7 linked regions of the Mus musculus genome follow. The main gene of each other region encodes a partner of the protein of the gene in region 6 in a complex. Links are inferred from orthologs where the notes say so. Each region holds a gene or a part of one and is shown on either strand. Other genes may lie near its edges. The genes, in order: Snip1, Ppil2, Cd2bp2, Cript, Sf3b2, Snrnp40 and Snrpg.

What was found.
Region 1: Snrnp40 (region 6) and Snip1 share a complex: the UniProt entries of both Homo sapiens proteins name them as parts of the minor spliceosome. The link is inferred for Mus musculus from reciprocal best matches to the Homo sapiens genes SNRNP40 and SNIP1.
Region 2: Snrnp40 (region 6) and Ppil2 share a complex: the UniProt entries of both Homo sapiens proteins name them as parts of the minor spliceosome. The link is inferred for Mus musculus from reciprocal best matches to the Homo sapiens genes SNRNP40 and PPIL2.
Region 3: Snrnp40 (region 6) and Cd2bp2 share a complex: the UniProt entries of both Homo sapiens proteins name them as parts of the U5 snRNP complex. The link is inferred for Mus musculus from reciprocal best matches to the Homo sapiens genes SNRNP40 and CD2BP2.
Region 4: Snrnp40 (region 6) and Cript share a complex: the UniProt entries of both Homo sapiens proteins name them as parts of the minor spliceosome. The link is inferred for Mus musculus from reciprocal best matches to the Homo sapiens genes SNRNP40 and CRIPT.
Region 5: Snrnp40 (region 6) and Sf3b2 share a complex: the UniProt entries of both Homo sapiens proteins name them as parts of the minor spliceosome. The link is inferred for Mus musculus from reciprocal best matches to the Homo sapiens genes SNRNP40 and SF3B2.
Region 7: Snrnp40 (region 6) and Snrpg share a complex: the UniProt entries of both Homo sapiens proteins name them as parts of the U4/U6-U5 tri-snRNP complex. The link is inferred for Mus musculus from reciprocal best matches to the Homo sapiens genes SNRNP40 and SNRPG.

Annotation. Positions count from the first base shown.
Region 1 is NC_000070.6:125,065,303-125,069,471, forward strand, and holds the start of Snip1 (smad nuclear-interacting protein 1), read left to right. Parts: upstream 1-1,369; 5' UTR 1,370-1,450; coding exon 1,451-1,650; intron 1,651-2,704; exon of another isoform or gene 2,705-2,787; coding exon 2,788-2,890; intron 2,891-4,169. Other genes in the region: Dnali1 (axonemal dynein light intermediate polypeptide 1), read right to left, coding at 216-296. UniProt on the Homo sapiens protein: Required for pre-mRNA splicing as component of the spliceosome. As a component of the minor spliceosome, involved in the splicing of U12-type introns in pre-mRNAs. Down-regulates NF-kappa-B signaling by competing with RELA for CREBBP/EP300 binding.
Region 2 is NC_000082.6:17,104,753-17,108,252, reverse strand, and holds part of Ppil2 (RING-type E3 ubiquitin-protein ligase PPIL2), read left to right. Parts: intron 1-1,028; coding exon 1,029-1,074; intron 1,075-2,197; coding exon 2,198-2,260; intron 2,261-3,500. UniProt on the Homo sapiens protein: Has a ubiquitin-protein ligase activity acting as an E3 ubiquitin protein ligase or as an ubiquitin-ubiquitin ligase promoting elongation of ubiquitin chains on substrates.
Region 3 is NC_000073.6:127,193,278-127,197,419, reverse strand, and holds the start of Cd2bp2 (CD2 antigen cytoplasmic tail-binding protein 2), read left to right. Parts: upstream 1-1,342; 5' UTR 1,343-1,491; exon of another isoform or gene 1,492-1,958; 5' UTR 1,959-1,981; coding exon 1,982-2,059; intron 2,060-2,261; coding exon 2,262-2,397; intron 2,398-2,518; coding exon 2,519-2,676; intron 2,677-2,778; coding exon 2,779-3,217; intron 3,218-3,298; coding exon 3,299-3,405; intron 3,406-3,489; coding exon 3,490-3,600; 3' UTR 3,601-4,142. UniProt on the Homo sapiens protein: Involved in pre-mRNA splicing as component of the U5 snRNP complex that is involved in spliceosome assembly.
Region 4 is NC_000083.6:87,024,168-87,028,360, reverse strand, and holds the start of Cript (cysteine-rich PDZ-binding protein), read right to left. Parts: upstream 2,801-4,193; 5' UTR 2,702-2,800; coding exon 2,686-2,701; intron 663-2,685; coding exon 597-662; intron 1-596. UniProt on the Homo sapiens protein: As a component of the minor spliceosome, involved in the splicing of U12-type introns in pre-mRNAs. Involved in the cytoskeletal anchoring of DLG4 in excitatory synapses.
Region 5 is NC_000085.6:5,292,656-5,296,643, reverse strand, and holds the start of Sf3b2 (splicing factor 3B subunit 2), read left to right. Parts: upstream 1-1,188; 5' UTR 1,189-1,249; coding exon 1,250-1,382; intron 1,383-1,556; coding exon 1,557-1,603; intron 1,604-2,267; coding exon 2,268-2,345; intron 2,346-3,324; coding exon 3,325-3,564; intron 3,565-3,988. UniProt on the Homo sapiens protein: Component of the 17S U2 SnRNP complex of the spliceosome, a large ribonucleoprotein complex that removes introns from transcribed pre-mRNAs.
Region 6 is NC_000070.6:130,384,132-130,387,332, reverse strand, and holds part of Snrnp40 (U5 small nuclear ribonucleoprotein 40 kDa protein), read right to left. Parts: intron 2,852-3,201; coding exon 2,769-2,851; intron 1,380-2,768; coding exon 1,318-1,379; intron 1-1,317. UniProt on the Homo sapiens protein: Required for pre-mRNA splicing as component of the activated spliceosome. Component of the U5 small nuclear ribonucleoprotein (snRNP) complex and the U4/U6-U5 tri-snRNP complex, building blocks of the spliceosome.
Region 7 is NC_000072.6:86,370,252-86,374,339, forward strand, and holds the start of Snrpg (small nuclear ribonucleoprotein G), read left to right. Parts: upstream 1-1,288; 5' UTR 1,289-1,331; coding exon 1,332-1,363; intron 1,364-4,088. UniProt on the Homo sapiens protein: Plays a role in pre-mRNA splicing as a core component of the spliceosomal U1, U2, U4 and U5 small nuclear ribonucleoproteins (snRNPs), the building blocks of the spliceosome.

The sequences.
Region 1 (4,169 bases), about 5.3 Mb from region 6:
TCTTTTCCATGTGACTTTTCTCATCTTAAATTTGTCCTCTAAGGTCATAGCTAGGCTTCTTGTTCTCTTCTCCCAACCTCCATCCCTGTCCCAATTCCCTTGGCTGTCAGCCCCAGCAATCTGTCCCCTGAAATTCCAGAGATCCTCAAAGCTGGGATGTCTTTTCCCCATGGGAGTTTGTAGGATCTCGCGTCCCCTGAGACGCCTGTTCATACCGTGGGGCTCCGTTTCTCTGTATTCCGGCTCACCAACACCGGGGTGTCATATTTGAGCAGAGAGTCTGCTGGGGGTATCATGGTGGCAGTAGGGGTAACAACTCCGTAGCGGCCCCTGTGGAGTCTTGTTTGCGATCACCATGGAAACCCCTCCTCTCCTTGCCCCATGGATGGGGCGGGGCCTCTGAGGAAGGCGGTGCCGGCCGCGTGCAAGTTTTGTTCTACTGTGCTTTCTCCGCAAGCACTAAGTTTCTTAGTAAAGAAGACTGGACCCCTAGCGTTAGGTCTGTTTCGGTTTATGATGAAATGGACAGACCACCTTTGATTAAAACGGAAGTCATCTAGTGACTCTATAGAGTATTTGGCGACGATTGGCATTTGGAAGCCAGAGGCTGGCAGATCTTTGTGGATTCCAGGACAGCCAAGGCTATATAGAGACACTATTTCAAGAAACAAAAAAGAGTTTCACATTGTTGAGTGTCTGTGTTTCGTAACTACTAATAACGCGCAAGGAACAGAGCTGGGTTAGCTTTCCCACAGGTTTTTTTCTTTTTTCAAAAAAAAAAAAAAAAAAAAAAAAAAAAAGCTGGGCGATGGTACCACACACCTTAATGACAGCATTTGGGAGTCAGAGGGAGGCAGAGTTCAAGGTCAGCCTGGTTATAGAGTGACTTCTAGAACAGCCAGGGTACACTGAAAACCTGACTATGACGGGGGGGGGGGGAGATTGTCATATATATTTTTTTGAGGTTCTGGGGACTAATCCAGGGCTTCGTACTCGCGAGGCAAACGCTCGCTCGGTAACTAAGCTACAATCTCAGCCTTCCCTCCCCTTTTAACTCTTGATTTCTATTTGGCGGTGCTGAGGATGAATTCAGAGCTTTGCGATCTATCCGAGCTACAACTTTTTCAGATTTTGAGACAGTTTCACTAAATTGCCCAGGTTGGCCTCGAAATTACTGCGATCCTCCTGCTTCAGCCTCCCGGGGGGTTGGCCCTGCCTTTTCAGTACTCCAGCCACACCTCCCAGCAGCGGGGACCCCGTGGCCACTCGCGCCGGCGTCCCCAGCGTCTGAGACTCAAACACCTGGGGCCCCGCCCATCAGGGGGGCCGACACCGTGAAGGCTTCTGGGATAGCGCGCTGCCCGGAAGCGGAAGTGCAAAGCTGTCCGTCACTTCCTACGGCTCAAGTGGCTCAACGGACCGTGCAAGTGACTCTCGGTCGGGCCGCAGGATGAAGGCGGGGAAAAGCGAGCGGGAGCGGAGCGGCCGGCGGCGACACCGGTCAGGCGACGCTCTGACGACCGTGGTGGTGAAACAGGAGCGTCTGAGCCCCGAACCCGTCGCGCACCGCCGGCCCGACGCTCCAGCCGCTAGCCTGTCCCCGCCCGCCGCCGAGCCTGGCCACTCGGGTCACCGCGGGAGCCGAGCCCGGTAAGCGAGCCGGTGATTGGGCGGAGGACGGGATGGCGCGGGGGCCGGTGGTGCGAGCGGCTCTGGAGTGCAGAGCACCTGTTGAGTTGAAATGAGATTTCCCCCGCCTGCCCGCGAGTGGATGGTGCGAGTGGCTTCTCCCCTCGTCTGCCTACAAAGACACGTTGGGTCTTGGCGACTTCTTCGCAGCACTCATTCGCCAATGCCTCCATGTGGCATCGATTTATTGAGTGCGTAGTGTGGGTTAAAGATCAATTGGAGGTACTGGGTCACAAGGCAAAGAAGAGAGATGCTTTTTCCTTGGCGAAGTTGGGCAGGCTCTAACTCGAAGAAGGAAAACAACAAATAGATAATTTCAGTCAGTATTAAAGACAGATCAAAACGGCAGTGTGGTAGCGAGAGGCTGGGTAGAAAAAAGAGAGGGCTTGTACAGAGGTGCTCCTTAACGGAGACCTGGCTGGTAGGATTGATCCATTCTCTTGAGTCAAGAGTCTTTTAGCAAAGACTCCAGGAAGGACCAACCCACTGTGGTCGGGCATGCTTGTAACCCAGCAGAGGGGATGCTGAGACAGGAGGTTTCTGAGTGTATACACACAAACACGGCGCGTGCACGATTATGACAGAAAAATATATACATAGAACCTGAGCTGGAATTCTGTTTGTTTTAGAAGTTGAACAACAGCAGCAACAAAAACAAAAACAAAACAGCCAGCATATCTGGAATTGAGAGATGGAGCAGCATTGTAGGCTGGTAGGAAGGATGTGGGATGGAGGACAGGGCAGGGCCCTGAGACCTGCCAAGGGATTGGTTTTGGTTGTTGGAGAAGGGAGTTGTGTTAGGGAAAAAACCAGGCTAGATTGGCTTCCTGGATAGTAGTGCCAGATAGTAGGATGGCGCATCCGGAGAAGAAAGGTTTCTGAGGCGTTGGGGTTGGAGAATAAGGTTGTCTAGGTGAGAAGGCTTAGCAGGCCATTGTGTATGTGGTTGGGAGAAGTGTTTATGGGAAGTGAAGGCCTGCTGTGGCTACTGATCTCACAGATGTGTTGTGTTTAGTAGGTGAGCCTGATCCTGGAAGCTAACTTACTTTCGGGAAGGAACTTTGAGGTAAAAAATCCTGTGTACCATTCTCTGTAAAGGTCCCCAGCCAAGAAGAAAAGCAAGTCCTCTGGGAGAAGAAGCAAGTCACCACGGACCAAGAGAAGCCAGAGTCCCCACTACCCCATGGTCAAAGTGAAGCAGGTGAGTGAGTGAGTGAGTGAGTGGGCAGGGACCATGGGTGGAAAGCTCCAGCCCAGAGCTGTTGCTGAACCCCAAGAGGTTGGCAGCCAGGTGTGGACATGCTTCCTTGTCACTGCAGTGGGCTTTTCTAAAAATGGGATATGTATTTGGGGCTGTTTTTCCTGAAATTTTAACGTTTGGAGACAATTGTTGATTTGATTCTGATAACTCTTGTCAGAAATAATACGGAGAGATGTACATATCCATGTTTCTCTCAATGGCAACTTCTCGCACAGCTGGACAGTGTCGTGGTCAGGACACAGACGTTTCACCACCATCAAGGTGCCTCATGATGTCTGATACTTCTCCGCCTTTATCCTTCCTTACCTCCTGGCTGGCCGCTTCTCTCTTTCTATTGTTCTGGATGCACACTTAAGCCCAGGGTCTTTAGGTTAGAAGATTGTCCTTGGTGCTGTTGAAACCAGCACAGATGGGTCACGTTGGGTCTGTGAGTGCCCATGTGCTGTAGGACCAGTTTTTCTTTTTCTTTCTTTTTTTTTTTTTTTTTTTTGAGACAGGGTTTCTCTGTGTAGCCCTGGCTGTCCTGGAACTTACTTTGTAGACCAGGCTGGTCTCGAACTCAGAAATCCGCCTGCCTCTGCTCCCGAGTGCTGGGATTAAAGGCGTGTGCCACCACGCCCGGCTAGGACCAGTTTTTCAAAGGACATTGGTTGTCTCCATTGAATTATTTTACTCCCACATTGAAACTCAGTCAGGTATATGTCTATCCATGCAGACTCGATTACTGCACTTGCATAGTAAGTCTCAAACTGAATGTCCTCTTTGCTGCATATGAGCTGCCATGTGGGTGCTAGGAATTGAACCCAGGTCCTCTGGAAAAAGTAGCCAATGCTCTTGTCTGTTGCGCCATCTCTCCACACCACCCTCCTCTTTTTCTTTTTTTCCTTTTAGCTGTTCTGGTTCTTTCGTCTCCATCTCTATGTAAATGTTCGAGAGTGTGTGTGTGTGTGATAAAAATCTTTTAAAAATAGTATTTTTTTGCATGTGTATGAGTGCTTTCCCCGCCCCTGCATGTATGTGTATGCACTGTGTATGTCTGGTGCCCACAGGGTCCAGAAAAGAGTACCAGAGTCTCCAGAACTTGAGTTAAGGCTGGCTGCAAGCCACCTCATGGGTTCTAGCAACTGACCCAGCTCCTCTGGAAGAACAGAAAGTGCTCTAACTGTAGAGTTACCTTCTAGATTCCTTAGTAACATCTCGAAAGAGGCAGGTGTTGTGG
Region 2 (3,500 bases), on a different chromosome or scaffold from region 6:
TGTGGCCTTGGCTGCCCTGGAACTCACTATGTAGATTGAGCTGGTCTTGAACTCATAGAAATTTACCTGCCTCTGCCTCCAACTGCTAGGATTAAAGGTGTGTTTCACTTCTCAGCTCATCTTGTGTTGAGACAAGAGTCTGTCACTAAACCTAGAGCTCAATGATGGGCTAGACTGGCTTGTCAGTAAGTTGCTTCCGTCTCTACCTCCAGTGAAGTACACTGAGCCACTGAGCCATTTTTCTAGCACCTATTATTTTGAGGTGTGTGAGTGTGCGTGCATGCATGAATAGATACCTGCCCTTAGAGGCCAGAGGTGTTAGGTTCCCTGGTGAGTTACAGGCAGTTGTGAACCACCATGTGAGTGTTAAGAACTGAGCTCAAGTCTTGTATAAGAGCAGAATATATTCTTAACTGCCTAGCCATCTTTCTGAACCCTACCAGAAGATTTTTTTTTTCTTTTTTCTCCAAGATAGAGTTTCTCTGTGTAGCCCTGGCTGTCCTAGAACTTGCATTGTATACCAGGCTGGCCTTGAATGCAGAGATCTGCCTGCCTCTGCTTCCCATGTGGTGGGACTAAAGGTGAGTGGCACCACTGGCTAGCAACTACCAAAAGATTCTTAATTTAGGGCCTGGAGGTATAGTTCAGTGATGAAACTAGCATATAGCATATATAAGGCCCTGGGTTTGATCTCTAGTAACACATAATACATTCTTCTTTCTCGAAACAACAGCAATAAAAAATTTAATTCATAGTAATATAGCTTTGTTTTTGTTTTTGTTTGCTTTGTCTTTTGTTTTTTGAGACAGGGTTTCTGGGTGCACAGTCCTGGCTATCCTGGAACTCGCTTTGTAGACCAGGCTGTCCTCAAACTCACAGAGTTCCACCTGTCTCTGCTTCCCTCTCAAGTACTGGGATTAAAGGAGTGCATCGCCATGCCTGCTGTAGTAATGTAGTTTTAATGGTAGGTATACATAGATGAAATATTTTCCAAATAGGTTATCTGTTTTTTATTTCATCTTTAACAGATATCTCACAGACAAGTTTTCGCCGCTTACCTTTTGACCACTGCAGGTGAGAGCTTCAAATCCTTCTGTTTTCCCTTGGCTTTGGTTGAGTATCATTTCTCCCAAAACAGGTGTGTGTGTTTTAACTGCAGCTTGGGCTGACCTTGAACTCCTGAATCTCCTGCTGCTACCTCCCAAGTATTAGGATTATAGGCTGCCATCCTTGCATATTTGCATAGATTTTTTAAAAAGATTTATTTATTTATTATATGTGTGTACACTGTAGCTGTCTTCAGACACACCAGAAGAGGGCATCAGATTTCATTACAGATGGTTGTGAGCCACCACGTGGTTGCTGGGATTTGAACTCAGGGCCTCTGGAAGAGCAGTCAGTGCTCTTAACTGCTAGACCATCTCTCTAGTGCTTGTTTTTTTTTTTTTTAAAGATTTATTTATTTATTATATGTAAGTACACTGTAGCTGTCTTCAGACGCACCAGAAGAGGGCATCAGATCTCTGTTACAGGTGGTTGTGAGCCACCATGTGGTTGCTGGGATTTGAACTTCGGACCTTTGGAAGAGCAATCGGGTGCTCTTACCCCCTGAGCCATCTCACCAGCCCCTTGTTTTGTTTTTTAAGGTAGGGTCTGTTTTCTGCTCTGGCTTCTGACTGACCTGGAACTCATTAAACTTAAAAAGACTGACGTGCCTCTGCCTCGAGAACACTAGAACTAAAGGCTTGAGACCAAGAAAGGGCGATCAGCAGTGGCCCAGGCAGCTCACAGCTGCAGACACATGTGAAGCGTAGCTGTGGTAGCTGAGGCTGCTGTAGGCCTCCACCCCAGTCCATGTGCCCAGCATACGTCAGGGTGGTGTACAGACAGTACCACAGGGGCCTCATTAAACCCTGGGACGGGGAGGATGCCCCGGGGCGAAGCTTAGTCTGACTGCTCTATGAGGGTCTGGAGAGGGAATCCCAGCTTGCTTCCTCAAGGCCATCATGAGGCACCTCTTATGTGACATGAAGTGGGCTGCTGCTGCCTCAAGTACTAAGGCAGCTCCTGGGACAGCAGCTTATCCTTATGACGTGGTGTCAGGGACAGAGGGTACTCAGAACTGTGGAGCAGGTTGTGGGACCCAGAGCATGCTCAGTGTGCCTAGAAGCTGACGAGGGGTTTCTGTTCTTTTCAGTCTCTCTCTCCAGCCTTTTGTCTACCCAGTCTGCACCCCAGAAGGTGTCGTCTTTGACTTGCTGTGAGTTTACTCTTGAATTTTTAAATTTCTTTTTATGTGTGTGTGTGTGTGTGTGTGTGTGTGTGTGTGTGTGTGTGCCTGCCCACCCAGGTGCATGGTATTTGTGTATGTGCAATTGTGTTCAGATACATTTATATGTGGAAGCCAGAGGTCAATCTCATGGGGCTTTCTCTGTTGTTCTTCATCTTATTTTTTTGAGACAAGACCTTGTCAGTGAATTTGGCACTGTCAGCAAGACTGGCTGACCAGCAGGCTCCCGGTTCCACCTGTTTCAATGCCTCCAGCTCCCACTAAAGTTACAGATAGGTGCTGTCTTTAGCTGGCTTTCTTTTTCTTTAGTTTTTTGTTTTTTGGTTTTTTTTTTAGTTAGTTTGTTTGTTTGTTTATTTAAGTACACTAGCTGTAGTCACCATCAAATCCCATTACAGATGGTTGTGAGCCACCATGTGGTTGCTGGGAATTGAACTTAGGACCTCTGGAAGAGCAGTCATTGCTTTTAACCATTGAGCCATCTCTTCAGCCTCATTGTGTCTGGCTTTAACATGGGTTCTTGGATGGAATACAAATTTCAGGCTTTTGTGCTGTGGAGAAAGTCCTTTATCCACTAAGTTGTCTCCCCAGCACTCTATATTTAATTTTGACTTAATAAATATGACAGGATTCTTGATACCAATTAGAGAAAGGAATATAGAGTTTGTGGCTCTAAGCAGGGTCAAAGTTACTAAAATCTTGTCCCTAGAAATCTCATGACATCTAGGTGAGCCTGTTTGGTAACTGGGAGGGACCACCAGGCCTCAGGCAGCACTAGCTGGCAGATGCTGTTGCAGTGGAGTGAGTCCTTCTCCCCCCTGTCTTAGAGGCCAGCTGCTTACAGATGTGCAGTAGAGGTGTGCTGGATGGTCTCTGCATGGTGAGAGATGCAGAGTCCCCTGCATTGCACTCTGATGCACTGCACCCTGTTGCATGTTCCAGCTAAGCTTGTTTTACATCCTACATTTTTTTCTAAAATTTGCAAAATAAAAATAAAAAAATAAAAAAATACTTGAATAGAACAATTTACCCCAATGACGTCACTGTCCAGGATCATCATTATGCCCTCTTAGCCCTGTGCACAGATTTCTTTGGTGAGTGCAGAGGGTGGGGGAGTCTCACTGTAGTGCCCTGGCCTGTGTTCAAATGACTTCCCATTCTCATACATCTCCCAAGTAGCTAAGCTTACACCACACTTGGCTTACTGCCA
Region 3 (4,142 bases), on a different chromosome or scaffold from region 6:
TTCTGCTGCTCCCACTCTCACTGGCCTCCTGGGATCCTCTGCACAGCTTGCAGGACTGGGATCGCCTTTCCAATGGCTTCAGCCCCCTGGAAGCTGAAGGAGGGGCCTGAGAGTGTGTGCAAAACCACCATCTTTAGATTGGGCTGGGTTCTTGGTCAGCAGCTTGGTGCAGTTCCCTGGGCGTCTAGGGTAGACTAACTGCCTGGGGTTCATCCCAGCAGGTACACACAACCAAACTGCGCAGCTCTTGTTTTCTGTGGCTAGATCTTTGCCACACACCCTCTACTCCGGGTCAGGATGATAAAGGTGTGGGCTTCTGTGGCCGTAAAGCTCCACTTGGCACTTCTCAGCAGAAAGGGGATCAGGGTGTGTGGTCTCCAGGTAGAGAAAACCCCCTCCGGATGAACCAGCAGTGCTGAGAGCTGCTTTCTTCAGGGTCCTGTCTGTAGCAAGATGCCCTCCTGGTCTAGAACTTGTGTTCTGTACCCACAGAAGTGAAGTTTCATGATTCACAATGGGAGAAAACCCTGGAGGAGAAAGGCGTGGTCCATCTGGCTGCCCTCTTCCAACTCTAGTAGGATCACCGGAGCTATTTAGCCGAGGGTGGGGACGGGGGTGGAGGCGTTGAGGTTTGAGTTGTTCCCCAGAGCTCCAGATCTAAACCTCACTATTGGGGAAGATCTCACCTGGCCCCAGCTTTGCAGGAGCTGGATCCCAGCCCTTTGGCAGTTTGCTAAGGGATGAGGTAGGCTTCGTGTAACTGATGGGCTTCTGCCTGGTTACAGGCCACGGACGGAAGCCAGTGGCACCTCCTGTGATGGTTGTCCCGCTACAGAAACTAGGAATTAAGTGGGAGAATAGACATGGTGCAAATGACTCCTGGGTTCTAAAAGGGCTTGGTTTGGAAGGTGCCCGAGCGCTTATAATCAGAAGCAGGACTCAGAGAGAAGAGCAAGACTTTCTTTAAAAATAGACGGTCTCATGTTGTATCCCAGACTGTCGTCAATCTCGCGACAATCAATCCTGTTTCAATTTCCCGAGTGTTGGGACTGCGTTAAGATCGGAAGCCCGGGTGTCTACTGAAGGCCACTAGGCGTACAGAACCCTATCCATACATGCAAACGGAAGCCCGAAGCCTCTGTTCGGCCTGTGCCTCTCCATCCAGGCCTTGGGAACCTCTTAGCACACCACGTCCTTATCCTCACTGTAGCCTCCATCGTAGAGGAATAATAAAACATTTCCCGCCATCCTCAAGTCCCGTGAGGCAAGGACGTAGTTCACGCGAGTCTTTGCAGGTCTTGCGTCACTTCCTGCCGCGAGTCGGCCTTGGCTAATGGTATGCATCCGCCCTTTTTGAATAGAAGTGAAGCCACTTCCGGGTCCTATGCCGGTCTCCACGGTTTTTTTCCGGGTGATGAAGGCGGGTGCCCCGGATGTAATACCGGCGAAAGCATCTTTCCTTTTCTTCCCCGCCTGACCCTGGGTTCCTAGGTGAGCACCGGCGGGTAAGATTGTTTGAATCCCCGCGGGTTTGCTTCGCCTTTAGTTTGTACGCCAAGGACATGGCCGAGCAGGTCGCTACGTGGTATTCGGGGATCTAGGCAGCTCCAGCTCTTGGGTCCGACCGGCCTCTGTGAGCACTCGGGTGGGAGAGGTGGTTGAGTTCGGTAGCTCCGGACTGGTAGGGGAGTGGTGACGTAGGGGAACCTGACTCCCCATCCCCGGGTGGGAATACCCGCAGGGTCCACGCGGGGGCGGAGATCCTTCCCATCGCCTCTCCTCCGGGCCTCAGAATTGCCCAACCAACCCCGGACGTCGTGCCTGCTAGTTCTCTCAGATGCTTTAGCGATCTGTCCTCGCTCACATTTACCAGGAAAAATGTTGGTGGCCCCTGCACTCCCCCGCGGTCCTCTCTCCTTACCTCACTTCCTCACTACATATCTTTTTCCGAGGTCCAGCTGGAGGAAATCCACAGCCAATCATGCCAAAGAGGAAAGTGACTTTTCAGGGTGTTGGAGATGAGGATGGTGAAGATGAAATCAGTGTGCCCAAAAAGAAGGTGAGATGGCCAGATTTCGAATTTCCGTGGAGGACTGAGAGGAAAGAAGAAGGAGAAATCTGATGGGAGGAAAGCCGGGAAGCCAAGGAAGTGTTAGTTTTCCCCGGCGCACTGGGTTTGGAAAGATTTGTGTACAGATCCTGGAGTATCTGGGGAACTACCCAGTTGGCTGCATTTCTCATTTGCTTCGGCCTCCTCACAGCTGGTGGACCCTGTGGCTGCAGCAGGTGGTCCTGGGAGCCGCTTCAAAGGCAAGCACTCTTTAGACAGTGATGAAGAGGATGATGATGAGGAAGGGTCCAGCAAATATGATATCCTGGCCTCAGAGGATGTAGAAGGTGAGCTATGTCCGAAGCGTTAACTGAGTTGGGGGGACAAGCCTTCAGGATGGAGGTGGGAGGTGTGCCTGCTTCCCTTTTGCGTGTCTAGCATGCCCCACCCCCAATGTCTTCGGTGCAGGTCAGGAAGCAGCTACTCTCCCTAGTGAGGGCGGTGTGAGGATCACACCCTTCAACCTGCAGGAAGAGATGGAGGAAGGCCACTTTGATGCTGATGGCAACTACTTCCTGAACCAGGATGCGCAGATCCGAGACAGCTGGCTGGACAACATTGACTGGGTGTGGCCCAGGGACTATTCTGGCTGAGGCCTGGGAGTGCAGGTGCAGGGCCTGGGCCCTGGTGGAAGTTTGTAAGAAATTCTAATTATCTTTTCCTTGTAGGTGAGGATCAAGGAACGGCCCCCTGATAAGCACCAGGTTTCAGACTCGGAGGAGGAAGACAGCCTGGGTCAGACTCCAATGAGCGCCCAAGCACTCCTGGAGGGACTTTTGGAGTTGTTGTTGCCAAGAGAGACAGTGGCTGGGGCCCTTAGGCGGCTGGGGGCCCGAGGAGGAGGCAAAGGGAGCAACAGCAAGGGGACTGGACGGCCCAATTCCCCCCAGCGGCTAGACCGGCTGTCTGGGTTAGCTGACCAAATGGTGGCACGAGGCAACCTTGGTGTGTACCAGGAAACAAGGGAACGGTTGGCTATGCGACTGAAGGGTTTGGGGTGTCGGGCCCAGGGATCCCATGACCCCACACCTCCACCCTCCCTGGACATGTTTGCTGAGGAAGTAGCAGAGGGTGAACTGGAAACCCCAACCCCTACCCAAAGAGAGGGTAAGTTTGGAGGGCACGGGTGGGGGGCAGTGTGGGCTGGAGACTGAGTGCTTGAGGCCCAAGTATCGTTCATTGTGTTAGAGGCAGAGTCAGCAGGAGATGGCCTGATGGATGTGATGTGGGAGTATAAATGGGAGAACACGGGGGACGCCGAGCTGTATGGACCCTTCACCAGTGCCCAGATGCAGGTGAGCTGCCCCCTGCCGCGTCTGTCCCATCTGTCCAGCCCACCTTCTGTCAGCTTGCCTGAGTTCTGTCCTCTGTTCTTACAGACGTGGGTGAGTGAAGGTTACTTCCCGGATGGTGTTTATTGTCGGAAGCTGGACCCTCCGGGCGGCCAGTTCTACAACTCCAAGCGCATTGATTTTGAGCTGTACACGTGAGCCCGCTAAGGGCCCCATGCGGCACGGCAGCCCCTTCTTTCTTGAACTTGGCAGAGGAAGCCCCAGCTGCTCTGGGCAGTGAGGATATTGGAGGCCACTTTAAAGCCATTGTTTCCCAATAAAAGCCTTGACTGTGCGATGGCCAAGAGCCAGGGCTTCTCCATAGCTCCTTTTGGCTTCACCTGGTAGGTCCCTGAGCGTTTCTTCCCGAGAGACTTCCTCACTTGCTTCTCTCTGGTGTCTTGGACCACCTCAGTTTTTTTTCCCACCCTTGGAGGCAGAGGTAGGGCCCATCAGATGTCCTGTGACTTTCCTACGTAGACAACTTCTACTTGCTGTGTAAAATTCCCTCCATCACTCTTTTCTCCAGTCTCCCTTGCAAGTCCCTGTTCTGCTGATCTTTGACTTTTAGGACCTCAAATGCTCTGTCCTGGCAGCTCCCTTGTAGCTGGGACATTGGGAAGACCTTGAAATCCTATTGAGAGATTCTCTTAAACATGCATTCTCTTCTTCCATAGTCTGATTTTTCTACCCCTCGCCCC
Region 4 (4,193 bases), on a different chromosome or scaffold from region 6:
TTATTGTTCAGTCTTAAAGTAGTGCTTTGACAATGCCTACACTCTTTTTGTATGTGTAACATCTGTCTACTTTGGTTTTTTTTTGTTTGTTTGTTTGTTTTGTTTTGTTTTTGTTTTTCGAGACAGGGCTTCTCTGTATAGCCCTGGCTGTCCTGGAACTCACTTTGTAGATAGACCAGGCTGGCCTCGAACTCAGAAATCCGCTTGCCTCTGCCTCTCAAGTACTGGGATTAAAGGCATGCATCACTGCACTGGGCTTTGCTGTATGCGTTTAATAAAAAAAAAAAGTAAGGCAGTCTAAATTTGTTTGAGAATGTAAAACTTAGATGTGGGAAGGAAATGTAAACACAGACTTTACCAATCTGAATCAAATAGACATACATTGAAATAATAATTTTACTACTTCTTGACTATATGAGGAATCCGTACATGTAACTCAGATGATGAAGAAAGATGTGCACTCCCAGGAGAACCGAGCCCTCGGTGTTTACTGGGCAAGGTAATCAGCATCTAACACTGCACTGTGCAAAATGTGACGCACCAGAGCAGGGCCACAGCGCTTGACCCAGCTCCTGTCTCCTAACAGCAAACAGTACCTGTGGTGTTCCGGGCACCATCTTTCCATGTGTCTGGAGTGATAACTCTGCCGAGTTTCTTTTCACCTGTGGTCGCCAAGACAGCAAAAGAGAACAGCTGTCATCTAATAAGCAAACTGTGTGGAAATAAAATAACAAAACCCATTTCTTTGCTAACTTTACAATAATAATTTAAAATGATAAATATATTGTATCGCCTAAAGTACATAACGATATGAAGTCAGATTATAGGAGGAACCTACTAATGCCAGGGTAGAAACCAATGAATGAAAACTTAAGATAGTAACAGTGGGCAACAGATACTGGTTCTAAATAAAACTTACAGGACAAAACGATGCTCTAGTAACAGGCTTTAACTGATTATACTTTAAGCAGTTCTGACAAACTTATTCATTCCTCTCTCTCACATTCTCTAATCACCTAGTCTGTACAAAGCACCATGCAAGGTTCTGATGAAAACAAAGCAATTTAAAATGATAAATATATTGTATTTATATGCTCCAAATGGACAGTTACTTAGTACTGTTTAAGTAGGGCACTGTTCAGGGTGGAGAAGAGCACTGGATGCTCAGTGGTATGGATGTGCCAGCTGAGGCCAAACAGTCCTCAAACACCTAACAGAACAAGGAAAAGAAAGCACACTGAAACCAAACTCCCTGGAACTCAGTAAATGCACAACTGGAGAACACGTACGTGCCAAGTTCTAAGAGGTAACTCTAAAAAATTGGAGAAAAGTAACTTTCTCGAATAATGTGTGATACAAGGGAAGACTGAACTGAGGCGGCTGCTGACATTACAGCTTCTGTATGCAAGTACCTCAGTTTACTTACGGGGTGCATGCAATGAGCAGACAGACTGAGAGGCTACAGATAATAAGACCTTAGATTTCTCAGAAGAGCAGAGGAAATGACCTTTCAGGGCACAGCACAAAGGACGGCTTCACAATCTAAATACATTTAAGCCACATTTAATTAACCATTTATCCCACTTTCGAAAAGAATAAAAAACCGTTTAAGAATGGCACAGCTCTGGAGGGGTGTCTGTGTCCAGAGTTCTACATACTGAGGGGCTATGAACAAAATGGGTCCTGTATATCCGCCAGTAACTGAGATGTGGGTTGAATCTTGTCAGAGAAGGCTGTCTAGCCCATGAAAGAGATCAAGAGAAGAAAGTTGTTTTTAAACGAATCATCAGCTTTTGCAGCTACCAAAAAAAAAAAAATTAAATATTTACAACAAATCTTAAGGGTTTCATTGGAATTACTGAATGGTAACTAAAAGGGTTAAAAAGACCTTTCTAAAAGCCAGGGGTGACTACTTAAAGATTTCTTTGGTGGTGATGAGACTCTCTCCTTCACCTGACCCAAAGCTGTGAGTATTAATGAATTGACGGGATGGCTCAAAATATCCAATTTAACTTAATTTCAGATAGCCACTGAAGTAATTTTTAAAATAAAATCTAGCCGGGCGGTGGTGGTGCACGCCTTTAATCCCAGCACTGGGGAGGCAGAGGCAGGCGGATTTCTGAGTTCGAGGCCAGCCTGGTTTACAGAGTGAGTTCCAGGACAGCCAGGGCTACACAGAGAAACCCTGTCTCGAAAAACCAAAAATAAATAAATAAATAAATAAAATCTGTATTAAATGCGGCATGTTTTGTAGTAAGGAAAAGCAGAAAGTCAAGATTTAAACATTATTCGGGACATATTAATAATACTGGAAATTAACCATTGCTTATAATCTTAAGATGTAACCGAGAGCCTGGAACTTATACTTGTGACATCTGTCAACTCTTGATGCTACCAGAAAGATCGTGAAGATCCGATTTAAGCCTCCGAGAGCCAATCAAGAAGTTGTAACGGAGGAGACCCAGAAGGGGCGCGAGGACGACAACAGAAACAAACACAAGAGGCGCAGAACTGAAGCCATTCTCAACACAGAGCGGAAGGCTATGCTTACGGGACAGGCAAGAAGGGCCGAGGGGCAGGGTAGGAAGACACCGGTTACGCCACAGACCAGCAGGGGAAAACCAGAGAAATCCCGAGAGAACTTCTCAGCCCTCCACCTCCCCCAGAAGCAGCCCCTGAACTTACACTTTTCACACACCATCCTTACATGGGGGTGTCCCTGTGCCCTCAGCCGGCAAAGCAGGAGCAGCAACCCAAACACAACAACGCCCCAGCGGAGACGACTTCCTCTTCCGGCTACGTCAGCCCGCTTCCGGACTCTCAGCCCTCCCGCTCCGGCCTATCCCGTACCTAGAAAGTCGCGGGAGGGATAAACGCGAGCTGATGGGCGGGGCTGCTCTCATTATCCCGCCCCTTCTCGTCAACGATTGGCTGTGCGCTTGTGAGTTCCCCCCGCCCCCTCGCTTTCTGGTCTGCGCCTGCGCCAGGGGCCATGCCAGCCTGTAGCACCTGAGGGTGGGAGGCGGTGGTGTCCCCCTTCCCTTCGGCGGGCGGGAGAGTTAGGTAAGCCGGTGGCGGGTTGCTTCTCACACTCGCCCGGGGCGGGTGCAGGTCGCACCGCCGACCGCTGCGGTGACTTCCAGGGCGCCACGCTTCCGGCGGACCAGAGGATGCCCTGCGCTACCGACCCTCTGAGATGCCGGCGTCTATCACAGTCTCTCAGGGGACTCCGACCTCAGGTCACCGGGTCGGCCGCACGGGCTCTCTCTATGATGGCGACCTCCAGTTGCCCACACTGCGCCGTCCGAGGCTGGGACGGAGCCACCTGGGTGGGGTGGAGCTGCGGTCCGCACCTGAGCAAAGGCTGCTCAGGAGGAGGGCTCGGGAGCAGCCAAGCCTTCCGACCCCGTTCTCACGGGATCGCGAGTCCCGAGGGCGGCTTCCCAGGTGTGGTGTCCTGGGTCGGGGACTCGCTCGCCGGTGTCACCTTTGCGTTTGGGTACCGCTCGCGCTCGCCGTGTTAGATGGGTGTTTGCCGGTGGCCTAGGATGGATTTCTGATCGCGCTTCCTGCCTGACCCCGCAGTGGAAGGGAGAATCTGAGAAACTTTCCCCAAGTCTTTTCACGGCTATGCGTTCTTGTCCCGACCCTGGAGGATTTCTTCTTGTTTAAAGAGGCGATGCTTGAAATGGCTTGTGCGTGTGTAACCTTGGCCGTATCTGCTAACTTGTTCATCCAGTTTTCTTAATCAGTATCATTTGCTTTTGAAAACGATAAGTGTGAATGAAATGAGGGCTAATAGCACCATGCCCAGACTTGCGCTTTTACCTTTCCTGCTAGTTCCTCACCCTGCGGTGTGGATGTTACTTTTTGGGCCCGATTTTTACTACATTGTAACATGTGTTACTTTTAAGTTCTTAATTAACTTTAGTCAGTATAACATAGAAACTGTTCTCTAGGTCAAATATATGTATTTAGAGACTGGAAACTATTGTTTCTCCTCCCACTCGCGTTCTGCTATTACCATTATTTAACATCTGTACAGACAGTGTGAGCCCTTAGTGTAGCATAATGACCATCTTAAGATGGTCCTCCACCATTTGCATATCTAAGTGTATACTTGGCTGTCATTTGGGAACTGCAGTGATTTTCGCCAAAAAAGTAAAATTAGTTGCTGGTGTCTGGCACATGTC
Region 5 (3,988 bases), on a different chromosome or scaffold from region 6:
CAAGAATATAAAGTCCCCAGGTTAGATACCCCCACCTCCCAACTCATTTATTAGCTGCCTCCTGGATGCTAAATACTTCAAGATAGAAGAAGATCAAGTTCCAGATCCTGTTTGGGGGAATGGAGGTGGGAATAAAGGACAGGAAAGACTTAAAAATGAAACAAAGACAATGGATTAGCTGGCAGCAGTAAGCCCAGTTTTCAAGAAGCAGAGGCAGGAGGATTGCCAAGAGCTAGAGGTTGGCTTGGGCTCGATTTTGTCCCAAGACAGTCTGAACTACATGACTCTTGATCTTCCACTCCATGAAATCGGGTGTGATAGTATATATCTGTAGCCTGCAAAGGATCAGAAGTTCTAGGGTAGCCTGGGCCACATATGGACACATTTGTCTTAAACAACAAAAACCTTGGGGCTTGAGAATTGGTGTTAAGAGCACTGTTGCTTTTGCAGAGGACCTGGGTTCGATTCACAAAAGTGTAACTCCAGTTCCAGATCTGACACTTCTGGCTTCTACAGATACCAGGCATGCAAGCGGTACATATACATATAATAAAACACCTGAAAGGTGGAAAATGTATTAATGAACATTCCTCGAAAGGGGGAAGGAAGCATTTGACAGAGAATACATTTATTTAAGACTTTTTCGAAGGTGCAAAAGGGGATTTTATTTTAGCAGTGCCCTTCCCCCAGGTCAGCAGCTGGAACTCAGCTTGGCGGTCCGTTCCTCCACCGGCTCCGATCCCCTTTCAGCCCATTCAAGCACGCCTGGGCGGGAGTGAGCAGACAAACACTGTTTTATCAGAGCCATCGGCACCAACCTCCCATTCGGGCGCCGGAAAGGAATCTCTATGAGCTCCTAGGAGAAATAAGCACCCAGGTCTCTCATCATTGAAGGGTGTCGGGACAGAAGACTTAGTATGTGTTTGGCCAGGAGAGAAGAAGAATGCATCTGCTCTGGGTAGAGTAAGCTCTTGCAGCCAGGCAGCGGATGTATTACTACTGCTGCATACCGGATGTCATAGCGAGCGTTCGTCCTCTAGATGGCGCATCCGCAAACTACAACTCCCAGAAGGCTCTGCAACCTCCGTTGGCGGCGATTCCTATTCCCCGGTAAGGGAAAGGGCGTGTGTTTGGACCAAGTTCTCTCCAATCACCGCGGGACGTGGATTACGCAACCGGAAGTTTCTGGAAGTAGGCCCGGCGGCTGACCCGAGCTTCCGTGTTGGTCTCGCGCCTTCTTGTGGCTAAGATGGCGGCGGAGCATCCCGAACCTCCCAAAGGAGAGTTGCAGTTGCCACCGCCTCCACCTCCAGGCCACTATGGAGCCTGGGCTGCGCAGGAGCTTCAGGCCAGATTGGCAGAGATAGGAGCGCCGATCCAGGGTGAGGCGCAGAGGCGGTCGAGAGGGGCCCTGCGTGGGCTTGTGGCGAAGTGGAGCTTGGTTACCCAGGAGACCCACGGGGCGGGGGGCGGAGACAGGCCTGTGGGACCTGACCTCGCCAAATTGGCCTGCTCGAGGTGATGCTGACCCCCTGATTCTGTGCTTCGTCCTATAGGGAGTCGCGAGGAGTTAGTAGAGCGGCTGCAGACCTACACCCGTCAGGTGAGTGTTGTCAGTGCAGGCTAGGTCTCACTTTTCCTGGAGGCCTTTAAGACTACTCACGGATGGATCTTCGTTTCTCTTCTCTTCTCTTCTCTTCTCTTCTCTTCTCTTCTCTTCTTTCTTTTTTCTTTTTCTTTTCTTTTTTTTTTTTTTTTTGGTTTTTTTTTTTTTTTTTGAGACAGGGTTTCTCTGTATAGCCCTGGCTGTCCTGGACTCACTCTGTAGACCAGGCTGGCCTGGAACTCAGAAATTCGCCTGCCTCTCCCAAATGCTGGGATTAAAGGCGTGCGCCACCACTCCGCGGCTGGATCTTCGTTTCATATACTTTTTTTGTTTGTTCTTTCGCGATAGGGTTTCTCAGTGTAGCCCTGGCTGGCCTCAAACTTAAGAGATCCTAATGCGTTTGCCTTCCGAGTGCTCCAGCACACCGGGCTAGGTCTTTTTTGTGTACTTCAACGCAGCAAGCCGGCTCTTGACCATTTTGTCAGTTCTTGGTTTTGCTTTATTGTAATTACTTCTACTCCTGTTGCTTTTCTCAGGTTCCAGCCCCAGTCTCTGTCAAGTGGGCACTGGGTACATTTTGTTAAGTAAATAAATGGAAGAGGAGGTTATGTAATGGAATACGTCCTTGTAGTCTGACCTAGAGCTCTCTTTTTTCTTGTAGACGGGCATTGTCCTGAATCGACCAGTTTTGAGAGGAGAAGATGGGGACAAAGCGGCTCCTCCTCCTATGTCAGCACAGGTAAGAGATTGCTTCGAGGATCTTTTCTGCTCAGGATAGCCATGTGTTGAGCTAGCAGATGGGACCGTAAGTTAAGGGTGAGGTCTAAGGAGACAAAATTGTGACCTCTTCACTTCTGATTTAGTGCTGCTACTGTTTTAATCCCCAATGTCTACTCCTCCAAATTTGACTTATCACTCAAGATTCCACTAGAATATCTGGAAATGTTCCTTGATCCTTTCTCAGCTGGAAGTGGTCATGCTTTCTCCTGCCAGGTATAGCTCCCAAAGTTATTGAAACGGTAAAGGATAATGCCCTGACTTGAATAATATACTCCCTGCATCTAGTACAACGTAGATATCCTATGCCTTGGAATGTTGGTTATTACTTTTTTTTTAACTTATTTTTATGTATATAAGTGTTTTGTCTGAATTTGTATTTTGTCCAAGTTTCTACCTGTGCGTCACGTGCATGCAGTGTTTTAGGAGGCCATTGAAGGGCGTTGGGTCATTCTGGGGCTGGAGTTACAGAACTGTGAGCTTCCATCGGGGTGCTGGGAATTGAGCCCTGATATTATAGAAGAGCAGCTCTTAACTGCTTGGCCATCTATCCAGCCCTAGTTCCTATTTCTTTAAGTCCTTTCTGATTCTAGTATTTGTTTCTCTTCCTCTAAAGTTGTGGCTTTGACCTGGAGTTTATTGGTGTGTTTGTGTATGTGTGTTTTGTGAAGTTCCTGTATGGATTTTAGAGGTGTCCTTGTACCTCCTTAAATTGAATGCAAAATGTAATATGAATGTTCCTCATATTTTTTCAGAGAAGCTAATAGCTTTGATCAGTGTGCTAAAGTTAGCATCTTTTGATTCTTTTATGGTGTATTTTCTTGAATCCTACGTCATTAGACTTCAAATTCTAGTATCTGGCTCTTTTGCTAGGTCTCTAGCAAATGCTTATAAATTGAATAAATGCTTTCTAATTCATAGCTGTATTTTTTTCCCCATAGCTGTCTGGGATTCCTATGCCACCACCACCTATGGGACTTCCCCCTCTACAGCCTCCTCCACCACCTCCACCACCTCCACCAGGCCTTGGCCTTGGCTTTCCTATGGCTCACCCACCAAATCTGGGGCCCCCACCACCTCTTCGAGTGGGTGAGCCTGTGGCGCTGTCAGAAGAAGAACGGCTGAAGCTGGCACAGCAGCAGGCAGCTTTGCTGATGCAGCAAGAGGAGCGTGCCAAGCAGGTAGGACAGGTGGAAACCTGTACCTGGGACACATTAGGTCCCTGACGGGGAAATGGAGCCTGAGAAAGCTAGACCCTGAGGCCAAGCCTTTTAGGAAGGTCTTGGTTGAAGACTAGAACGTAGGTATAGTTAGACTCCCAGGAAGCCAGTATTTTGGCAGATTGGCCTGGGCCCTATTGCTGCTAGTGTGAGATTCACTGAAGCAACATGAACTCTTGGGGTACTGGAAGACGGTGATGTTTTTCTCTCTGACTTGACATCTTGCTCTATCCAGAGGATGCCATTTAACATTATTTAATGTCCAAACCAAGATGCTTCATTCAAATTTGCCTTGGAGGCTACCTGATAACCAAATAGGTTCTAGTGCTTCCATCTTTTCTGTAGTCCAGGAGTTAGCACACTATGTGTGCCCTGCTTGTGGATG
Region 6 (3,201 bases):
ATGGAGGAAGAGAAGCAAGAAGACATTACAAATCAGAAGATGTGAACTGGGCATGCTAGCATATTCCTGCTCTGAGTTCAAGGCCAGCTCGGTGTACACAGTGAGTTTGAAAACAACCAGAAATACATAATGAGACCTTGTCTTGAAACAAACAAAACCAAGAGTTTCTAAGCATGTTCCCAAAGGGAACCCTGAGCTGTGCTGAAAGCTATGAGCTGGGGAAGAGCTCTGCTTACAGGCCTCTACACTGAGCCTCCAGGAGTCATGGACAATCCTCTGTCCTTGGCACTCAGAATCCCTACTGCATCTGATTTCCTCCCAAGGGCACAGCACCACAGACACCAAAGCCAACCTGTATCTGACAGGTGAATTCTGCCCTGTTTCCCGTTCACATAACGCCTTGAGCCACACAGGAAAGTCTAGTAACTTGGCAAAGATGGAAGTTACTGAGCCCACTTCCCTCAGCGATGTTGGCACTTTCCACTGAGCCTGGATCTGGCTCTGAGTCATCTTTAACACTGGCAGCTATGACCAAATGTTGGGTTGATACAAGGGTGGATTTTTTCAAGACAGGGTTTCTCTGTGTAGCCCTGGCTGTCCTGGAACTCACTTTGTAGACCAGGCTGGCCTCGAACTCAGAAATCCGCCTGCCTCTGCCTCCTAAGTGCTGGGATTAAAGGCGTGTGCCACCACGCCTGGCTACAAGGGTGGAATTTGATTGTCACTTCTGACCTAGGAATTCATCCTTGAAATAGCAAGTCGGAATTCAAGCCATCTACTAGCAGTACCCTGGGTTTACAGAGGATGTCAAAAGATCGCCTGACTGTGAGAGGCATTCACAGGGATGTCCTAACATGTCTGTCTAAATGTAAGGAGGTAAAATACTAATAAAAGTTAGAAATATGAAGCAAAGAGCAATGTGTCATGGGAGGAAGGGGGATGGGGGAAGGGAGGAGGGAGCACTGAGAGCACCATGGATAGCTCAGAGAAGTAGCAGAGCGTTTACTGGGAAGACAGTCTAGAGAGCAGAGAGGGAGGCATGAGAGGACAGCCTTTACTGTATGGATGATGCGAAGAAAGCAGAGACACTGGGAAGACCACGAGTCTCCAACAGATATAAACAGAGTCAATTCTCTAGGCCTAAAAACAAACAGAAAACTCTATGTTTGGGTTATAATAACCTTTTATTTTCACATGGTTTCATCTCTGAGAGGCCCTCAGTCACGTGGGCAGCTGTACCCATTGTCTTCACACCCAGGCTTTAGATGTGCGGCCCACACAGCCACCTTGATCCCACCTTACACCCGAGATCCTTACCTGTCTGCTGAGCCAGCTGCTATCTTGCTTCCATCTGGAGACCAGGAACATCTCAGGAGGTTCTGGAACGAACAGAAACCCCATGAACAGTCAATGTGCCAAACTCTTCTTGTTGCACAAGGGTCAACTGACTTCATTTCCTACCAGACTGTCGTCGTCAGCCCTCACACTGCTGCTCAAAACAGCATGCTTTGTAATTTCATTTATTTGTCTTTAAATATTTATCTTATTTCTAAAAAAAAAAAAAAAAAAAAAAAAAAACTTATTTATTTATTGGTTTTTCTAGACAGGGTTTTTCTGTGTAACAACATCCCTGACTGTCCTAGAATTTGCTCCGTAGACCAGGCTGGCCTCAAACTCATAAAGATCTGCCTGCCTCTGCCTCTCGAGTGCTGGGGGAATCAAAGCATGAGCCACTATGGCCTGGTTTTCCTTATTTATTATTAATCTAAGTGTATTACTTTAGGTGATTTGACTGCAAGTATGTTTGGGCACCACATGTGTGACTGAGGAGGTCAGATACAGACGTCACATCCCCTGGGACTGGAGTTACAGACAATTGTGAGCTGCTCTGTGGTTACCAGGAAGCAAACCCTGGTCCTCTACGAGGGCAGCCAGTGCTTTTAACTGCTGAGGCAACTCTCCAGCCTGCTTTGTGATTTTATAACACATAAACACTAGATGTAGAGATGCTTAATCTAGTTATTAAGAACAAATCTGTCGACAAAAATTTGTTCTGCCTTTAAATGAAGGCTCCCTTAGCTCCATTTCCTTGATTCTATTAAAATATTTAAAAAATTTATCTTGTTTTTATTTTTCTTTGCTATTTATCTTGAAGAAAAACAAACAAACAACAACAAAACCCCAGCAAACACAGAAATAAAATTTATTTATAAAGTAAAGCAGTATTGGTAAGCTCCCAAAGGGAAGCCACTGACATCTCTAACAAGCTCTCGACAGAGAAGCTGTCTTCAAAGGAGCTGCCTGGGACACCTGAGGGCTGGGGAAAACGCTCCCGAACCCGAGCCGTGGCGATGTAAGGGGACAGATACAGACCCTGAGCTCTAACAGCTGCTATCTGAGTAACAGTGACGGGGCCTGGATTGAGATTCCCAAGGGATTAAAGGCCAGGAATGAATGCCCTGTCAGGGAGGTACTGAAGTCAGAAGTCTAGGAATGAATGAGAATGGGCCCCAGCGCTGGCTATCTGTGAGATTGTCTTCTCTTAATACACCACACTAATTTTACTTCTGGCAAGAAGAATGGTGAGCCAGGCCTGAGGGCAGCTCCTGTAATCTGAGCACATGGGAAGTTGGTCAGGAGGAAGGGCAGCTTTGGTGAAGAACTAAGTCATTCTTAGTGAGTCAACAACTCTATCCTGAGCACCGCTTTAAATATTTCTTCAAATCAAACGCACAGTAAAACCAACCCCCGTGGCAAGCCCTACTCACCTTTTCAAAGTTGTGGACATTTCCTTGAAATATCTTCACACATCTCTCTTTGGGAGCAAATGGCCGGACATCCCAGACACGAACTACAAAGCAAATCCAAACCAGTCAAGCAGCAAACACAACCAGGGCCAGCAGCTTCCACGTTAATAACAAAACTGTTTCCTGGGGGAGGAGGCCTACCCAACAGGACACAATGCTAACTGCGAAGGCTCCTTCTTTCCTTCTCCCAGTACGCACAATCTACACTAAAGCCCGGGCCACCACGACCGTCCTTCTCATTAAGCTAAGGGCACAAAGGAGAGCTGAAGAAGCAGGAGGGGCAGATGAGAAACAGTTGGGGATTTGCAGCAGAATACAGTTAGATGTCTGTCTGACACAGGCACATACACGTGTGCATACACGCACACACGTGCACAGCATTCAAACACACACC
Region 7 (4,088 bases), on a different chromosome or scaffold from region 6:
ACATGGTGGCTCACAACCATCCTAATGAGATCTGGCGCCCTCTTCTGGAGTGTCTGAAGACAGCTACAGTGTACTTACATATTATAACTAAATTGTAAAAGGTGCATACTGTAATTTCAGTACTGTAAGGCAAGCTGAGGATTTCCCTCCTGCTTTGAGGTCAGTCTTTGCTAAAGACTATCATTATTCATGTTCGTTTTCTAGTTTCAACTAGCACAGCAAGTGGTGGGGAGAGTGTATAGCTAAGCATTCTTGTGCTATTTTTTTGTTGATGACAAACTAATCATGAGGAGAACCTCAATTGAAGAGCTGCTTCCATCTAACAGGTCTCTGGACATGTCTGTGGGTCATTAATGACTACCATGAGAGAGCCCAGTGCACTGAGGGCAGTGCCACCACCCTGGGAGAGTGCACACCTTTATTCCCAGCCCTCAGGAGGCAGGGGCAAGCTCAATACCTCAGGACTTGTGTGGTACTCCTCAGCTTTTATGTATGGACTGTAGTGTGCTAAGTGGGTTCTGAAGGCAGCGTTAGAATTGCAGAATTGATGAATCAGAAATACCCCAGACACTGGATTCACGTCCTCAAGAGAATCCGCCTAGCCACCTTCCTGCTACTGATGCGGACAAGCTATTCTGTGCTTCAGGAGCCCTCGGCTTCGCCTGGATGTGCTTAGGAAATTAAGGGCAGCGTGGTGCAGATGCCGTTGATTCTAGCACGGGAAGCAACAGTTCAAAGCCAGCGTTGACTACACAGTGAACTCGAAGCCAGCATGAATTACGTCAAAAACAATGAGGAAGGGGCAGGGGAAATGACAAAAATGTAAAGAGAAAAAAAGTGTAGTAAGTGGGAAAAGGAAAGAAAAGAAGTGACACACAGGCTGGAGAGACGCTTCAGCAGTTAAAACCACTGGCTGTTCTCCCAGAGCTCTGGAGTTCAATTCCAGCACCCACATGGTGGCTCACAAGCATCTATAGTAGGATCTGAGGTCCTCCCCTGGCGCGCAGGTGTACATGTAGAGCACTCATACATAAAATATAAATGAAGGGGTCTGTTTTTAAAGTGACCTGCCACTTCAATTTTACACAAAGGAAGCTTAGCCGAACACAGCCTCTCCGTCGTGGCCTGTCACTGGCGACGCAACCGGAAGCGTGGCTCTGGTCCGCAGGTTCAGACATCCCCATCAATATCGCGAGATGAAAGGTAATGTTCTCCGAAGGCGATTGGCTCGCGCGGCGGTGACGTCAGACACCAGCGCCAAGCCTGCCTTGCGCGCGTTTCTGAGCCTGCTCACTCCTTCGCCGTTGTGCCGAGCCCGCAGAGGAGTCGCCATGAGCAAAGCCCACCCTCCCGAGCTGAAGAAGTGAGTAGAGTCGGCCCTATCGAGACTTCTGTCTCGCTCGGGCTGCCGCCGCTGGTCCCGACGGTCGCGGGAGCCGGAAGTGGCGCTAAGGTCCGGTCGGCATGGTTACTGCAGTGCCGGTGCCTCTGTCTTCCCAAAGCTGGGGCTCTCCTAGGCGGGCAGCCAAAGGCAACCTGGTTGGGGACCAGGGCAGCGGTCGAGGTGCATGGTTGTGAGGAACCGGAGACTCGTGGGCTTAAAATGATCGATTGGAGTCGGACGTGATTGGCTGTGATCTATGGGGCCAATATTCAGGAAGCTTAGGCAGGAGAATTACCGCGAGTTCCAGACCAGCCTAGGCTTAAAAAAAAAAAAGACACTGTGTCTCAAAAAGTTTAAGGTGAGGTAGCGTTTTGTGTTTCAATAAATGTGCGCGTTCATTTGCGTTCATCAAGAGAGCTAGGTTTAGTTTTGGGGTTTTTTTTTCCCCTTTTTGGTGCTCAGAGACATGTTTAGTTATATGTTTGTGCACGTGGGTGCAGCTCCTGCGGAGGCCAAAGCGGGCATTGGATCTGCAGAAACAGAACTTGTAGGAGGTTGTGAGCCCTCTGGCGTGGTTAATAATAGCTGGACTCGTGTCCTCTGGACAAGCAATAAGCGCTGGGCCATCTGCAGCCCCAAGAACTAGGTTTCTGATACACTGTCCTTGTATTCAAGTTACATTTAAACGTTGTGTAATATCTTGCTCTGGCAATAAATCCATGGAAGGACATCCATTTTCTACTTGTAAAGAGCTAATTTCTGAAGAATTTTATTCTGTACCCAGTAAAATCAGACAGACCCTTTGGTCTCAGACACTTCTGACTGGCCTGAACCTGTCGCATATGCACATAGTCATTGGGTTGCTCAATACAAGATTAATACTGGGTCTTTTCTGGTGTAGCCAGAAAATAATCTGTCTTGTGTATAGCCTGTTTGCTACTGTAAAGTTCTGTCAAGACCCCAATGCAGGGGAAAGATAACAACATTTGCTGATTTTTGTATTTGAGTGCACATTTTAATCAAAGCCCTCTGTGTGAAACCCCTGCAGTTTTGTTTGAATCTGAATCTGTTAAACCGGGCCTAGAGAGTTGGCTCAGAGGTTGAGAGCACTGACTTCTCTTCCTAGAGGTCCTGAGTTCAATTCCCAGCAACCACATGGTGACTCACAACCATCTGTAATAGGATCTGGTACCCTATTCTGGCTTGCAGGCCTATAGGCAGAACACAACATAATAAAGATGTATTAAGCCATAAGTCTGACATTTTAAAAAGAAGTTATTCTGCACTGTTTGTTTTGATGATGAGCTAATAAATGAGGTCTGGATTTAGCAGGAATTGGCAAAATGGCATTGGTTTTGAACAAAAGCACTGTTCCCTACCTGTAATCTTCAGTGTCCTCTGATTCTTAACAGATATACTTGGGCCTTTCAGAGACTGGAACTAGTGATTGTGTCCATATTTTTATTGGCGTGTTTGGAGCAGAGCCTGTGTGAGCTACTTTGTCACTGAACTTCTCTTCTCTGAGTTGATGCCTTTTTCTCATCCCTACATTTTATCAAATTTGAAATACTTTTAGATCCGCCTCCTTATTTTCTCATAAACACCTCCTTTTACAGCTATTCACTCCTAGTTTAGCATAACTCCATAGTTCTTAATCATTTCTGGTCCCGTGTCTCAGTAGTTTCAAAGTTGAGCTCCTCCCAACTCCTAAAATGTGTTGCCACAGAAAGTCTTAACCACTGATGAATTCTGCTATACTAGTTTATATCACCACAAAGTCAAGTCCAGACTTCCTAACCCAGCTTTGAAGCCCCACCCCATCTGCAGTCCAGCAGCCATATTTTGCATGGTATATGACTAAAAACAATTTTCTGCACATTAGTGTCTCAGTTACTGACCTCTTGCTGTATAGAGGCATCGTGACCAAGACAACTCTTATAATAAAGAAAGCATTTGATGGGGACTTGCGTACAGTTTTAGAGGCCATGATCATCATGGAAGAACAGGCAGGCAGTAGTTGAGAGCGTTACATGCTGAACCGCAGCAGCAGGCAGGGCAGAGAGACACTAGGCTGGCTTTTGAAACCTCAAAGCCCACTCACTCCCAGTGCCACCTCCTCCAACAAGGCCACACCTCCTAATCCTCCCAAACACTTAATCAGCTGCGAACTAAACATGCACATAAGTGACTCCATGGAGGCCATTCTCATTCAACCTCCACACTGAATGTCAGTTCTCCATCTGTATAACATGGTAATAATAGTACCGGAATCGTAAGTGTTAAATATGTTCCTCTGTTGATTTACAAAATAACTCCTAGTAATTTATAAATGTTATTTATAAATCTATTTCCACCTTCAGATTCTTATGGCTTAAATTTATATTTAAATTCTATCATGGTCTATACATTAAAACTCAGTGAAGCAGCCGAGCAGTGGTGGTGCACGCCTTTAGTCCCAGCACTTGGGAGGCAGAGTCAGGTGGATTTCTGAGTTTGAGGCCAGCCTGGTCTACAGAGTGAGTTCCAGGACAGCCAGGGCTATACAGAGAAATCCTGTCTCAAAAAAAAAACCAAAACAAACAAAACAAAACAAAAAACAATTCAATGAAGCTCAGCCTGGTGGCATAGGCATGTAATGTCTGCTACTTGAGAAGCTGAGGCAAAGAACTACAAAACCAGGGTAGCTAAGAAACACTGTCTTAAA